Alligator mississippiensis: one gene and its partner. The protein of the gene in region 2 binds, or shares a complex with, the protein of the main gene of each other region. Links are inferred from orthologs where the notes say so. Each region holds a gene or a part of one and is shown on either strand. Other genes may lie near its edges.

Evidence for each region. The genes of interacting proteins can lie anywhere in the genome.
Region 1: TPRKB (region 2) and GON7 share a complex: the UniProt entries of both Homo sapiens proteins name them as parts of the EKC/KEOPS complex. The link is inferred for Alligator mississippiensis from reciprocal best matches to the Homo sapiens genes TPRKB and GON7.

The regions. Positions count from the first base shown.
Region 1 is NC_081825.1:276,407,872-276,414,521, reverse strand, and holds GON7 (EKC/KEOPS complex subunit GON7), read left to right. Parts: upstream 1-4,273; 5' UTR 4,274-4,445; coding exon 4,446-4,650; intron 4,651-5,919; coding exon 5,920-6,032; 3' UTR 6,033-6,055; downstream 6,056-6,650. Other genes in the region: putative E3 ubiquitin-protein ligase UBR7, read right to left, coding at 978-1,038, 1,623-1,756, 3,844-4,023. UniProt on the Homo sapiens protein: Component of the EKC/KEOPS complex that is required for the formation of a threonylcarbamoyl group on adenosine at position 37 (t(6)A37) in tRNAs that read codons beginning with adenine.
Region 2 is NC_081827.1:30,117,710-30,125,452, forward strand, and holds the start of TPRKB (EKC/KEOPS complex subunit TPRKB), read left to right. Parts: upstream 1-4,604; coding exon 4,605-4,748; intron 4,749-5,896; coding exon 5,897-6,019; intron 6,020-7,743. Other genes in the region: ALG10 (dol-P-Glc:Glc(2)Man(9)GlcNAc(2)-PP-Dol alpha-1,2-glucosyltransferase), read right to left, coding at 243-1,298, 3,045-3,242, 4,385-4,549. UniProt on the Homo sapiens protein: Component of the EKC/KEOPS complex that is required for the formation of a threonylcarbamoyl group on adenosine at position 37 (t(6)A37) in tRNAs that read codons beginning with adenine.

The sequences.
Region 1 (6,650 bases), on a different chromosome or scaffold from region 2:
GCACTAATCTCCTCATACCTGCTTATCTCCTCGCATCTCAGGGTACCCTTCGAAGGGTTTTGCATCAGCCTGGGGTGCTATAGCACCCTGGCTGAGAATCATAAAACCATAGATAAGTAGGGCTGGAAGGGACCTCCAGAGATCATCTACTCCAGTGGTTCTCAACCTTTTTTGTACCAGGATCCATTTGTAAACACTGATGGCCAGTCCTGACCCAGTGCCCCTCACTCTTGACCTGCAGTGTGCAGGGCAGGGGGTGGGTATGTGGGACAGAGGGGGCCCCAAGCATGCCCTTGCAGGCTGGAACCCTGACAGCCTGCAAGGAAAAAGCTACAGCTTCTCATATTTTTTTCTTTAAAGGAGAATCCATTTTTACAGGTTGTTCACAACCCTCCCTTTCATATATTCTAGCGACCCACAGATTGAGAAACGGTGATTTAGCCCAACCCCTGGAATCAATGCACTACAATTTTATCCAAACAAACCTATGAGTTCTGAACCTTCAGTTCTGCCCATACTTCTCAATATTTTACCAGTGTTTTAGATTCAGTGCTGTAGGGTCTACTGAACCGCATGTTCTTCCCATCTTCCAGAATGGAATTCAACACCTCACTCTGCTTACTGGTAACAGTAAAACCATTCTAAGTCATGTTCTTTAGGACCTGTACACAAGCTAACCCAGTTTAGCCAACTTATGTGACTGGTACCCAAAGAATTTAATTAAAACTAGATTTTAAAAGTTATAGCCTGTCTCTAGCAACAGCTGTAAGTCCTGGTTTTGCTGTGCAAATCTTAACTCTATACAATGCAATGAACCCATTTTAAACATAGCTTCTGTAATCAGTTCTCTTTTGAGAGTACATTGGTTTTTGTGACAGAAAAAAACACAACTAAACTCTCCTACTTGGAGAAGCAATACTACCACCAGCTTTTATTATTCTCTACAGAATGAAGAAGATAGCAATGTTTAAACTTACTGGAAGTAATCTGCATTGCAAATTTTTGAATTTGCTGTTTCCACAGTCACAGCAGAAGTTTCTGGAAAAAAAAAAATATAGCAGTTCAGATATTTTTTTAAATGTCTCAAAATGATTTTATTTTTATATTTTTAAGGGCTTCCCACTGCCAGCTGAGAACTAGAACATACTCTCATAAGCTAATTCACAATATCATCTTTTAGAACTGATCAAAGTCCAGCAGCATTACTCCCTCATGCTAACAGCCTGTCAGATTTCAGTATCATTGTCAAGTAGAATCACTATTCAATTGGGATACTCTTCCGGCCCATGTAATTATTGCTGCCGAGAATACTCTTAGGCTTATGGGTAAGCATATGTGTTTGAAAGACAGCGACTGTGAGTTGACTTGAACCTGGAGGGGATCTGGGACAAAAGCACGATAAACCAATGTAACCTAAATCACTTAACTGGTTTATCTTAAACCAGTTCTGGCCATTTTGAATGTGGTTTATGTGCACTGAACTTCTGCTGTTACAGATTTAAACCGGTTTGTGTGTCATTTCTGTCCCTAGACTTACAGGTATACGCCATCTTCAATATTGCATTTTACTGCTTCGTGATGTAAATGGAAGTACCTCAGAAATGGCCCCAATAGTGCTTTACCTTTTTGTATACAATTCAAACAGCTTGTGTGTTCCATGACACTCATAACTGCAGGCTAAGCATATCCCTGCCGGTTCTTCTCCTGGCGGAGTACAAGTACTGCAAGCATATAAAGCTTGTCTCTTTACAGCACCCTACAAAGAAACAACAGATATAAAAAGAGAGAGAGGCACAGAAATAATCTGAAAAAGGTCATTTGCTGTTTGACTGAAGTAGTAAATGCAGTTTGTCATAAGCAAAAAGCAAGTTAATGCTGATGTGCAAGCTAGCACCAGAGGTTCAGAGAGAATCAGTATTTATTTGGCAGTATCTTTTACTAAATTAACCGTAAAGTGGGGAAAGATGTTAGACAAGCTTTTGTGCACAAAGTGCCTGTCTTCAATTCTGGGCAAACAGCAGGTACGTACAGCCTGAAGTAAACACCAGGTAAAACAAGAATCTTTTTCATTTACACAATGGAGTTAAACAACAGCACTTAATAAGTAGAGAGGTAATTAGCATCTGACAAAGTAGACTGCTGCCAATGAAGGCTCATGCCTCTTTAAAAGAGTTGGTCTCTACAGTGCCACCCTGCCCTGCTGATGAGACTTAAAGGAAGGGAAGACAGCAGTAAGCCTGTGGCATTAAAGGAAGCCATCAAAAGCAGCTACAAACCAAGAAAAAGGCAGCTGAAATAAACCTATAAATATATAGATTTGTTTATTTAGATTCACCATTTATTTTCACCACAATAATACCAGGCAAAAGGGGGGAGACTAACGGGGAGCAAATAAATCATAAGCTGTAAAACTACTGTCTGCGTTCAGTCCATAGTTTTAGTGTCCCATAAAACCCTGTGCCTGAAAGCTTACTGAATCTCAATAAAAAATATTGCAAAACAAACCTTGTTTCTCTCATTCTCTGAAGAGAATCCCAGCTCAAACGCTAGAACCTTGCTACAAAACAGAATGACAGCATTCACAGTGCAAATGCACCCCGTTTAACTGCACAGTGTTGGGACTGATAAAAGGGTCCGTATTTACCCCCATCTCAATGTCGATAATTACTCATTAATTACAGGAGCAAGTGAGCTAAACTTTTTGCACCTCAAAAAGGTTTCTTATCTTGTTTCTCAAAACACCTTATAAACAAACAGCCTTAAAATTGGCAGGGCCTAGTAGGCTTGAGCTTGCCTTAGAAGCCTCGAAATGGACAGCTCCCAGCCAGCTTCGATCATGCAGTTAAACCCTGTGCAACTAACTTACAAAGCAGAGGATTCCCATGCACTTAAGCAGCTAATGCTTTTAACGAATACGTGAATAGCTGATGATCGTTTCAATGTAAGTAACAGGTAATAAACTGGGACTGACCCTGCGCTTCACAATTAAGCTAATTATGCACTTACGTGATATGCACACCCATACAGGATGCTTGAAAACTTTATGAATAATATCTCATAGTCCCAAGGGCTGACCTCCAAGGCACTCTTCAAAAACACTGCTTACTAAAGCCTCCCTGGCAGGTCGACCCTTTTTTGCAGGCAGGCCTCAAAATAGCTCAGCCACTTCCTCAAGTGCCACTTTAATCCTCTTCCCCTGCCCAATTTTTCTGATCCCAGCCCCAGCCCCAACCCCTGCATGGCCTTCTGCTCCCTGCCCTGCCTGCCACGGCGCTGCCCGTCCCCTCCCTGATCTGTCACGGGGGCTGCTAGGGCCTGTGCTGCAGGCTGGCCACCCCAATCTACCAGCTGCACCTCTTCCCTTGCCTCGGCCTAGCTTCACACTGCCCCAGCTCACAACCTCTCTCTCTGCTCTTTAAAGATGTGAGGTGGGGCTGTGGCATGTCAAGTTCTGCCACAAGCTACACGACACCCACTGACCAGCCTGGCGGTCACCTCTCCCTCTTCAGGGAGGAGGAAAAGCAGGGGAAGACCAGGGCCGTGGGCCCCACACGCCCCTGTCCCTGCCTCCTGCACCCCGGTTCTCTCCACCTGGCCACCACACCCAGGGGATGGCTCCCCAGCCGTCAGCCCTCCACAGGGACCCCAGGGGCCAACAATCCTGCCTGTGAGCCCTGGCCGGGCGCGTGTGAGCAGGGGGGGGGGGGGCAGAGCTCAACATCGGGGCACTGGGGGGGGACTCCCCTCCAACCCTCTCCCTACCCCGCCCCCCAGCACAGGCCCCTTCCCCGGGCACAGGCCCCGCCCCGTTACTATCCACCTGCCCCCGCTCCGCCCCCTCACCTGCGAGTAGCTGCAGCGCTCGTGGTCGCTCCCGCCCAGCACCGCGCGCGCCTCCTTCTCCAGCTCCTCGTTCTCCGCCAGCACCTCGGCCAGGGACACCACGGGCTCGTCCGGGGCACCCGCGCAGCCGCTGCCACCGCCGGAATCCGCGCCCCCCGCCGCTGCCGCCGCCTCCTCCATCGTTGGACCCGAGCGCGCAAGGCGGGAAACGCCGAACCACCGCCAGGGGGCGCCGCGGCGGAAACGGAACCGCGCACCCGTCACGTGACGCAGCCGGTGGCGGGGACTCGGAATGTGACCCAGGCGGGACGGGAGGGGAGGACACTCTGGGCAACCAGTCACAGAAGGAGAGGGGGCGGGGCTGGCCAATGGGACGCCAGGGGGAGGGGCGCGGCATGTGACGCGAGGGGGTAGGCCAGCCTCCGCCACGTGACCGAGGAGGGGTGGTGCGCGGGGCTTGGCTGCCGGAGGACGAGCAGTTTGACGGCCGTTGGACCTAGGCGTGGGCCTGCCAGTGATGACGCCTTCCGGGGGAGCGCAGTTCGGGCGCTGATTGGCTACGGGCGGTGCCGCTCCAGGCCGGTCCGCGAGGGGGAGGGGGTATGGAGCTGCGCGCGGAGCTGACGGGGCGCGACGGACTGAGGCAGCCGCTGCGGGTGCGCTGCGAGCCCGAGCCCGGCGTCGGGGCGGGCGGGGAGCTCCGCGCGCTACGCCGGGGCCTGGCCCAGCTGCAGGAGCAAGTCGCGGCGCTGCTCGGGCCCCTGGTGCAGCAGGAGAGCGGCGCCGGCCCCCGCGGGGGCGCCCAGGGTGAGCGGGGGGGGCGCGGCTCGCGCGTTCGGGGCACGGGGGCTGAGGAACAGCGCAGTGTCTGCTCGCGGCCCTGGCGCTCGGTGCGTGCGGGAGCGCCTGGTTCACCGCGTCCTAAATGTAACGTGTGCCGGAACCCGGAGCGGAGCGGGTCCCTGCTGGGCAGGTGGTGGAAGGGCCAGAGCCCAGGCAGCTTGTCCAGGGAGCGTAGGGGGGCTCCCACCACTGTACCCACACCAGCTGAGGCCCCAGGTGGCACATGCTTCCTGCATCTGCGCGCAGCGGAGGCAGCTGTCGTTGTGGGCTGGGCTTTGAGGGAGTGGGCAGGGGAAGGCCCTGAACAGCCAGGGCACAGGATGGAGCAGTAAGTGGCTTGTCTGGGGGTGGGGGGACACAGCCTAGGAGGGAATGGGAGGCATATGCAGGGGACAAGCAGGAGCTGGGGGGACAAGCAGAGGCCCGGAGGGCACATGCCCTGGCCCAGCCAGGGCCCTACTTCCCCCAACCCCTGCTCCTGTCTGTGCCCTGGTCCCTCCCTCGCTGCGGGGGGCCTTGATCTGCCCCTTCCCCCACAGACTTACCTGATGAAGAGCCACAGCCCCAAATCATTTTTTCTCTCTCTGCCTCAATCTGTTCCTCCCCTTCCTTCCCCATAGATTGACCTGTGGGGGGAGAGGGTGGCACATGGTAGATCTTGAGTTGTTTTTTAGTTCAAAAAGTGATCTCCTACTTAAAAAGGTTGGAAACCACTGTTAGAGGATGGTTTCAGGTTGGATGGAAGGAAGAACTTGTTTACGGTAAGGGTCACCAGAATCTGGAGTAGACTTCCCAAGAAGGTGGTGCAGTCCCCAACCTTGGAAGTCTTCAAGAGGAGATGGGACAGACACCTTGCTGGGATCATTTGATCTCAGCAGTACTCCTGCCCAGAATAGGGGGTTGGACTTGGTAATCTTTTGAGGTCCCTTGCAGCCCTTTATTTCTATGAGAAAAACCCAGAGGTTGCTAATAGGACTCCATGGTGCTAGAAACCTGACCTGCTGTGGTCTTTTTGAGTACTTTGTAATAGGATAATTTGCTCTAGTGTTTTTCTGTAGTCTAGTGCAAACTAAGACCTGCCAGTTTCCGAGGGGTGCCTTGGGTCTAAAAAGATTTGAGAACAGCTGATTTAGAGACTCTCCGTCTTCAGAGCCCTCTGGTTCCCTCACCTCAAAACATGGATTTGCAAACACTTCTTCTGTTACTAACCTATGTATTGTAACCTTTTACAAGGTGATGTTGGGGAAGAGGAAGAGGATGAAGATGAGGACCAGGAAGAAAACAATGTTGACAAAACACATTCAGATGAGCCACCCTTAAAACGGACAAAAATTCAGCACTCCTGACTGTTGCCTTAAAGACTCCTTAGCATTTTAGAAAAAGACCCAACAGTTCTATCAAATGTATGTTTAACTGGACAGTCTTACTTCCGGGGAAAAAATGGAATATTTTTGGAAGCCAGGTATCCGCATTTCTGTTCTAAAATACAACCAAGCTGAAGAGAAATACCATTTTGTTTTTCTAGTATTTAATTTTAATAAATAATCTGACAAAAGAAATAAGGGTGGCTTGTTTTGGGTTTTTTAAATATTTTTAGGTAGATGAAAATTATTATTTTAATGTTGGAGAGAAGAGAACATGGAACGTAAATGTCAAGAGGAGCTTCTGGCAAAGACATTGTACACAAACAGTTGTATGTTTTGGATACTCCCTGAGCATAAAACAGTCTAGAGCTGTTAAAGGAACTACTCCCAAGCTCTGTATTTATTTGTATCACTTTTAAAATTGACAAACTTGGAAGAAAAAAAAGACAGTTTATGTACTTGAAATGGTAGAAACAATAAGCTAACAATTACCTGTGAAGAAGTTGTTAGAGATGTATATAAAATAATTTGAGGATTCTAGACTGGCTTAAATACATAAGCAAGGAAATAATTTAAAAAAAATTGCTTTAAAAAAGCCTA
Region 2 (7,743 bases):
ATGTTGTTTTTATTTATTCCAGAACCTCTTAAATTTGGTTAATACTTGGTCATATGAAAAACAGATCCGATCTCACATAGAGTTGCAAGAATTTAAGCATCCAACACATTACACTTCCTCCACCCCAAAAGGGGGAAAATAATCACAGAGAAACACACACTTAATTTCAGGGCCTACTGACCCTATTCATTGCAGAAAAGGCAGAGAATTTGTTCTTTCTAGGAATACAAAGATACACAAAATCACCACATAAACCTCTGGATTTCTTCACTATTTGGCCATTGGAATGTTTTGTTCAAAAAGAGATGTAAAGTTACTGCATTAACAACAACATATAAAGCAAACTCAAGAAGCTGCCCAGAAAGAGGTGGAAAAGGAATATTTAGCCTATATATTAAAAATGGCAAAATGAAGTAACGAAATTCCAACAGCTTCTGAGGAACTGTGACAGCAGACAAACATACAAAAAATACTAAGTTCCAGAAAATGGATTTTGATTTCAGCGAATCAGTAAAACTCCACCCAGCAAATATGTAGACTGGAACTAATACATATTTCACAAATTCATGTCTTTGAAAGATTTTTCTCCATATATAGAACGTGTAATGCCTGTTATCTGCAAGCAGATACTTATGAACATAGGTAAATTTCCAGACCAGGAATAAAGAAATGGCAATTAGTATACCATAGTGCATTGGGTGCTTTCGTAATGACTGAAGGAAATTTCCAATTTTACAAGGAGTTATTAAGTAAGGAAAGGAAAAAAAGAGGGTAAAGGAGAAAAAGTAGAACAGCTGAGGGAAATGCAAGCAGGCTTCATGATTACTCCTGTCTCCAACAACTATTCCTCCATTGATGACCACAAAAGTAAAAAATGCACTTACTGAAAGGATATATGGCCAAATCAAAACTACAAGTGCAACAAGGTTTTTAAAGGATATGATGTACTTAATAAGGAACTGTAGTATTCTGATTATTTCTGAAAATGATTCTTTCGTAGATGAAAACTTTTCTTCTTTCTTTTTCATCAGTTCAGTCTTCCATGCTTCATTTAGCCTTTCTGCAACAACACTTCCCCCACAGAAAATAGTCCATACAATATTTGTCTGACGAAACATAAAGCCACAAAACCCAAGCAGGGCTGAAGTTTTATGGTTACCATAAAGGCACATCAAATATGAAAAAAGAGTAAAAAATGTTGATCCTGTGTCTGTATAATAAAGGAATGTAAAAAAATAAAGGGTAGGAAATATTGCAAGAGTTAATGTAGATAATATTCTCTGGAAACCAGACACAGCCTAGAGAAGGGAGGGGAAAACAAAATTAGTAGTATTACTTCTATTGAAGAACAAAACACACCAGCAGTCAAACAGTCTATTCTTTAGAGTTTTAGTACCATAAAATAACATTTCTTGTGCTCTTTGATTCCGCTTTTTATTGTAACAGTGCATACCTTGCATTCTGCTATGCTAATACAGAGCACAAAACAATGAAATAGGAGAAGGATCAGAAGATTGCACACTATTGGTGCTGAATTAAAAGTGAACTGCACAAAAAACAAAATGACATTAACATAACATCAATATTTCAGGTCTCTATATAATGACTATTGTGGTTCTGCTGCTGAAAATACTCAAATAATGTAGAGTGGTTCCCTTGGATTCACTGTGTATATCTGAGTGGTCCCACTGAATTCACTATGCATTCACTATACACATACAGGCACACTGTGAACTCAGTAGGACCACTCAAATATCTTAGCATTTTCACAACAGAACCACAAAAGCTGCCACCATCAAGGCTCAGGGGACAGCATTCAATTATTAAAAAACAAAACAAAACAAAACAAAACAAAAAAACCCACATAATTTTCAACTGTTTGGGGAGGATTAAAAAACTCAAAAAACACGTGCTCTACTGGAAGCAGCAGTGCGTTACTTTGACCCGGCTCTGCAGCGTCTGTAGAAATCGGGTGCTTCGGCTGGGTTTTTTGGCACTTTTAGCTAAAGCCAATTCAATCAGCTACTAGATAAAAGCTCCAAAAAAGCCCCACTAAAAGAGCCCGCTCTCTACAGACATTGGGAAAGCTGGGTGCAACTAACACGCTGCCTCTTCAGGCCATGTGCTGCGCTTGGTGCAGGAGCACACTGAGTTTAAAGTGCCATTTTTGGGGGTTTTTCCACATCTGCAAGCAGTCTTAATTCATATCCTCTAATTTCAGCTCCTTCTCACATCCCAGAATGCATCAGTCCACAAAAAAACAGTTACTATAGCCTCCACTGAACCTGAACCATAAAGGGTTAGTTTGGTTTCTGATCTGTGATAGTTTCCTTTAGATATCTTTCCAAAAACATTCTGCTCAGCTACAAGTGAAGGGTTTTATGCAGGCCTGTCCCATGCAATTCAGACTAGATGATGGTCCCTTCACATTATACAATCTATGACTATTAACTTTGTGCACATAAGCAGTCCCCTTAACACAGTGGTTCTCAATCATTTCAGATTCAAGACACACAGTGGAAAATGCCAGCTCTTAGCTTTCCCTCATTTCTTTAACTACAGAAAAATAATAAAGCAATGCTTCTGCTGCAAAGACCTCATAAAGACCATGGCACTAAGAACGTTTTTGATGCTCTAGATTCCTATGTGAAATCTGTGGGTTTGTCTTGTGAACTGTGTGTAGGTATGTGCAAACCTAAGAGTACCATTATTGTGCACCACTGTAGAAGGATATTGCGGTACCCTAATTGAGAATCACTGAATTAATTTCAGTGGGACTATCCATGTGTATAAAGTTAAACACAAATGCCAATCTTTTCAGGAACAAGCTTTAAGGAAAGCAGAAAAATCTGTGTTTAAAGAAAAAGACATAGATCATCACAGCAATGTGAACTGGCAGTATGATTCAAGTATCTGTATCTGGATAAAGCTGATGATAATTCAAACTCCTTGCAACATAAACTAAGGGCCTAGGCTATTTTTAAAGCTGTCTGCATTATTGTACATAACTTCCCTAGCTCAAGTGTAAAGGATTTAGACTGTACCTTGTTTTTCTGATGGATCTTGCTCAAAAGCAAATACAGCAAGTAGAAGTTGCCAACACTGAAAAGGAGGTTAATAAACCTGAGCATTCCTGTCGAGCACACTACGCTTCCAGACCATCCAAAGAGCCATGCTGCAGGCTTCACTATTCCAACAGACACCAGGTATAAGCCAGGTAATGTAGTGATCATAGGGTCCCACTTCAAAATGAAAAAGATACGGGGGTTAAAGGAGTTGGAAAGTATGAAACCACACCAGATATAAACAAGAAAAGCTTAAGAAACCTAAGTCTCTAGCTTCATTGAGATGCATATAGAAAATCATTTGCTCCAAACAAGCTTTATATATCATAAACCACCCTACCTGTACACAAGGAATACGCTCCCACTGTGCAGGTCACACACTTAAATGTGTTGCTCACATGAACATACATACAGGTATGGCACATACAGGTATAAGCCAGTGTTTCCCAACCAGTGTGCTGTGGCACAAAAGTGTGCCATCAGAAATGAACAGGTGTGTCACGAAACTCTGCCGTGGCACTGAGCTACACTAGGTATGAGGATGGGGAATGCCTTAACAGGTGTGACACAGCAAATCTGTATTAATGTAAGTGTGCCCTTGGGCTGATAAAAGGTTGGGAAACACTGATATAAGCACATGTAACATGCACACGTAGTGCGTGCACACATAGCACAAATATGTATAGTACGCATGCACAAATAATTCCCACATATATCGTGTGTGCATATACGGTGCCTATATATATATATTAGTGCACACACAAATATGTAGTGCATGGGGGGGGGTGTAGATAGATATATATAGACAGTGCACACGTGTATGTAGTGCACGGGGGGGTGTCAATAGATAGAGCGCACACACATATATGTAGTTCACAGGGGGTGTAGATGGATATATATATAGTGCACACATGTATATGTAGTACAGATATACATATAGTGCACACGTATATGTAGTTCATGGGGGGAGGTGTAGATAGATAGAGTGCACACACGTATATGTGGTGCACAGGTGTGTGTGTGCCCACATACAGCATGCTCAGAAACTTACCAAATACACATGAGGTGTGCACACACACACACACACCTACCTACACCAAGCATGCACACGTAGTGCCCCCACACAGTACACATATGCACAGCGCACATGCACACACGCCCGCGGTGCCCGCGCTGTACACACGTGGCGCACACGCTCGCGTTGTACCGACGCATCTCCCAGAGCAGTGCGCGGCGCCCGCGTCCCACCCCCGGGGCAGGCGGCGGCGGCGGCGGCGGCGGCAGGGCCGAGGGGCCGGGCCGGGCCGGGCCGGGCGCACCTGGCGGAAGCGGGCGGCGCAGTAGGCCCGGGCCTGGGGGACGTGGAAGGTCTCATCCATGTAGGGCTCGCGCTGCCGGCGGTTGATGGCGGCGAAGAGCAGGCACGAGAGCAGCAGGGCTCCGCTCAGCGCGGCCCACAGGCCGAAGCGCTCGGCCCGCTCCATGGCGGCGGGGCGGGGCGAGGGCGGATCCGCTTCCCCGAGGTGGGCCGGGCCCACGATGGCGGCGCACCGGCAGGAGCTGGAGCTATTCCCCGGGTGCGGCGTGGCCCTGGCCCTCTTCCGACACGTCCGCAACGCGGCGGCGCTCCGGGGCGCGGCCCTGCAGGGCTCGGTGGCGGCCGCGCTGCTCAGCCCGGCCCTGGTGAGCCCCGCCCGCCCGCCGCACTGCCGAGCCCCGGGGCCAGGCCCTGCCCCTTCCCCCCGCCGGGCCGGGCGGCCTCCCTCCCTCCCTCCTGCGCACAGCCGGGACCGTCCAGCCCCTGGGCAGCAGGACGGAGCAGCGCTGCCTGGCATCGATGTGGGTCGGGCTGGCTGTGTGGGCCACTTGGTCTTCGCGCCAGCACGGGGGCCCGCCTGGCCAGAGCAGGCCGTAAACCCTTTGACGTTGATCCATGCTGTGGCCAGCAGTGTCTTGAATGAGTCGCGTTTTTAAAAAACGTCATTTTGAACGGTTTTCATGTCCGTCTCATGTCTGGGCCCTTTGCTCTTATTTCAGTCCGTAAATATTTTCAACGTCCTACCTGACCTTCTGGCTCATTTTATGGGAGAGAAATAGGAGTTCATGAAGGAACCGTGGGGCTCTGCTGCTGGATTAACCTAATTTACATTGTTTGCTATGGAAGCATGTACTCCATCCTTATTTAAGCTGTTTTCTCACTGGGGGCACATCTACACATTCAGTTAATGCAACTGAATATACTTTATCTTGGGCAAAATGCGGCCCGTGGGCTGGATGCGGCCCGCCAGCCCATTCTATCCGGCCTGCGGGACCCCTAAAAAATTTAGAAAATTAATATTTATCTGCCCCGTCTGCCTGCCATGCGGCCCTCAATGGCTTGCCAAAACTCAATAAGCAGCCCTCCGCCCAAAAAAATTACCCGTCCCTGCTCTAGCTCAATTTGAGCTGGAGTAAACTAATCCCAACATCACAGTCTAGACATGTGTTTAAGTGCAGTAATTTACTGCACTGCCAGATGCCACTTGTATCTCGTGGGACTGTCCAGCAGCACAATCAATTAGTCTACTGCATCCTAATTGCCATGCCCCTGTAGATGGTGATGCTTTACTGCGCAACATTTGTCTGCTGCACAATAGAGCGTCTCTTGTAGACATGCCCACTGAGCCATACCAGTGACTTAAGTGGGACAATGTGTTGTCCATTCAGAATAAGGCTTTCAGAATTTAGGGTAGGTAGGAGATCAAGAAGTAATGAAGAAAAAAAAAAAGTGTTTCTACCTAATTCAAAATTGTATTATTTAAATAATCTTTTTCTGCTGTTCTGTTCCACAGATTGTTGATCCATTTCAGATACTTGTGGCAGCAAATAAAGCAGTTCACCTCCACAGGATTGGTAAAATGAAGACCAGAAGTCTTTATGCAGAAATTATTTTCAACCTCTCCCCAAACAACAATGTAAGACTTTGCTAAGCAAATACATCTGTCACCGGGTGCCAAAACCCACAGGGACTAATTACCTTTCTTTCAGGCACCTGGATTCCAAATGAAATTCCGTGGCCAGTGTTGGGTAACTAAGTTCTCCATGAGTTGTGAACCATGCTAGTGGTGCTCAACCTCCAGCTCACAGAGCCATGCCCTCTGGCCTGTGGGGCTTCTGCAGGTTCTGGAAATCTGAGGGAGCAATGTTAATTGCTTCCAGAGCCACCGTAATTAATGCTGTTACTGCTCCCCTACCACCATGCTTCCAAACCCATGAGGAGCCCTGCTGCCCACATGACATAGCCTCATATCCCAGATTGCACCAGTGGATGGTTGCTCTGCAGCTGGATCCAACACATGGATTCAGAGTGGTGTGCAGGGTCACACCACAGCCAAATCATCCCTGCATATGTACCTGGCACACCAACCCCACACTGAGTAGATTCGAGTCATAAACACACTGGATTCGAGTCATAAACTGGGCCCATGAGCAGGATCCAGTCTGCAGGACCAGAGAGATTGAGCACCACTGTTTTATACAATGATTTAGGGGGGTTTAGAAATCTGGCAATGGAATTCAAAAAATCCATATTGAACCTGGATTTCTTACTTTCTACTTAAGTATTCATACTATTGGGCTATTACATAAGAGGTGGACATCTCTTTTTATTGCCATGTTTTTAAATGCAAATGGCAGTGGCTGCTGTGTTGTGTGGTGTCTCTGTGTGTTAGCTAAACAGGTCTACCAGATTGGGCCTGCTGGTGGATTTATGCAAATGAACACCTAGTTTGTAGATCCTAAATCAGTGGTTCTCAATCTTTTTGGACTCAAGGCACCCCTCCATAACTTGTGTGAATTGAGTGGCACTCAGTTTCAAAACTAATATATATTACAGTGCTTACTACTTTGCAGAGGAGGTGGGCAACTGGGGTGGGGGGTCAGCTAGGTAGGGAAACACCTGAGTTTGCGCTTATCTGCTTTCCTCCTCACACCTTGGGCATCCTTCAGAAGGTGCTGCTGCCATGGTCCCTTGGTTGAGAATCACTGTCTTAAATGGACTTAAAGAGTGAGATAAATACTGAGCTGTTGAGCCCTACCAGAATGGCAGCAATTCGGCACAAGGCCAGTCTAGCAGAACTCTTGGTGCTTACAGAGCTTTAATGGTAAAAACTTGGGTGCCTTTGGTCTTTTTACCACCGAAGAGGTTATGTGGGAGCTTTATGGATCTAACTTTTGGAATTTGGTGCTTGAATTCCAGCTGCATCCCACTTAAGACGCCTAAGTACTTTGGTGCACCTGGACCCCAGCACCCCAGTAAGGCAGCTAAAATAGTAAAACTTCTCTGGTTACACTTCAGTGCATGCCTACCTTCCAGTGCTGTGCTGTCTTCTCTGTCGCATCCATGACAATCAGGAATGTTGATTCCCCAGATTTTCTTTTTATGCAGTCAAATTCTATAATCATTTTTCTTTAGAAAAACTAAAAACAGTTCTCTATGAAAACTGTAGAATACTTTTCCAGCCTATATTTATTCGTTTGCTACACTTGTAAGAGCATTAAACTACTGAGACATTTCATCATCAGAGGAAACTACTGTCAGTGTTTGAAAATAACTTGAGGCCTTAATGTTAATAATAAGACTCATAAACTCTAAGAAAAAGTGAAAAGCCTCTGTTTTGGTTTGTTCTGATGTTGGGAA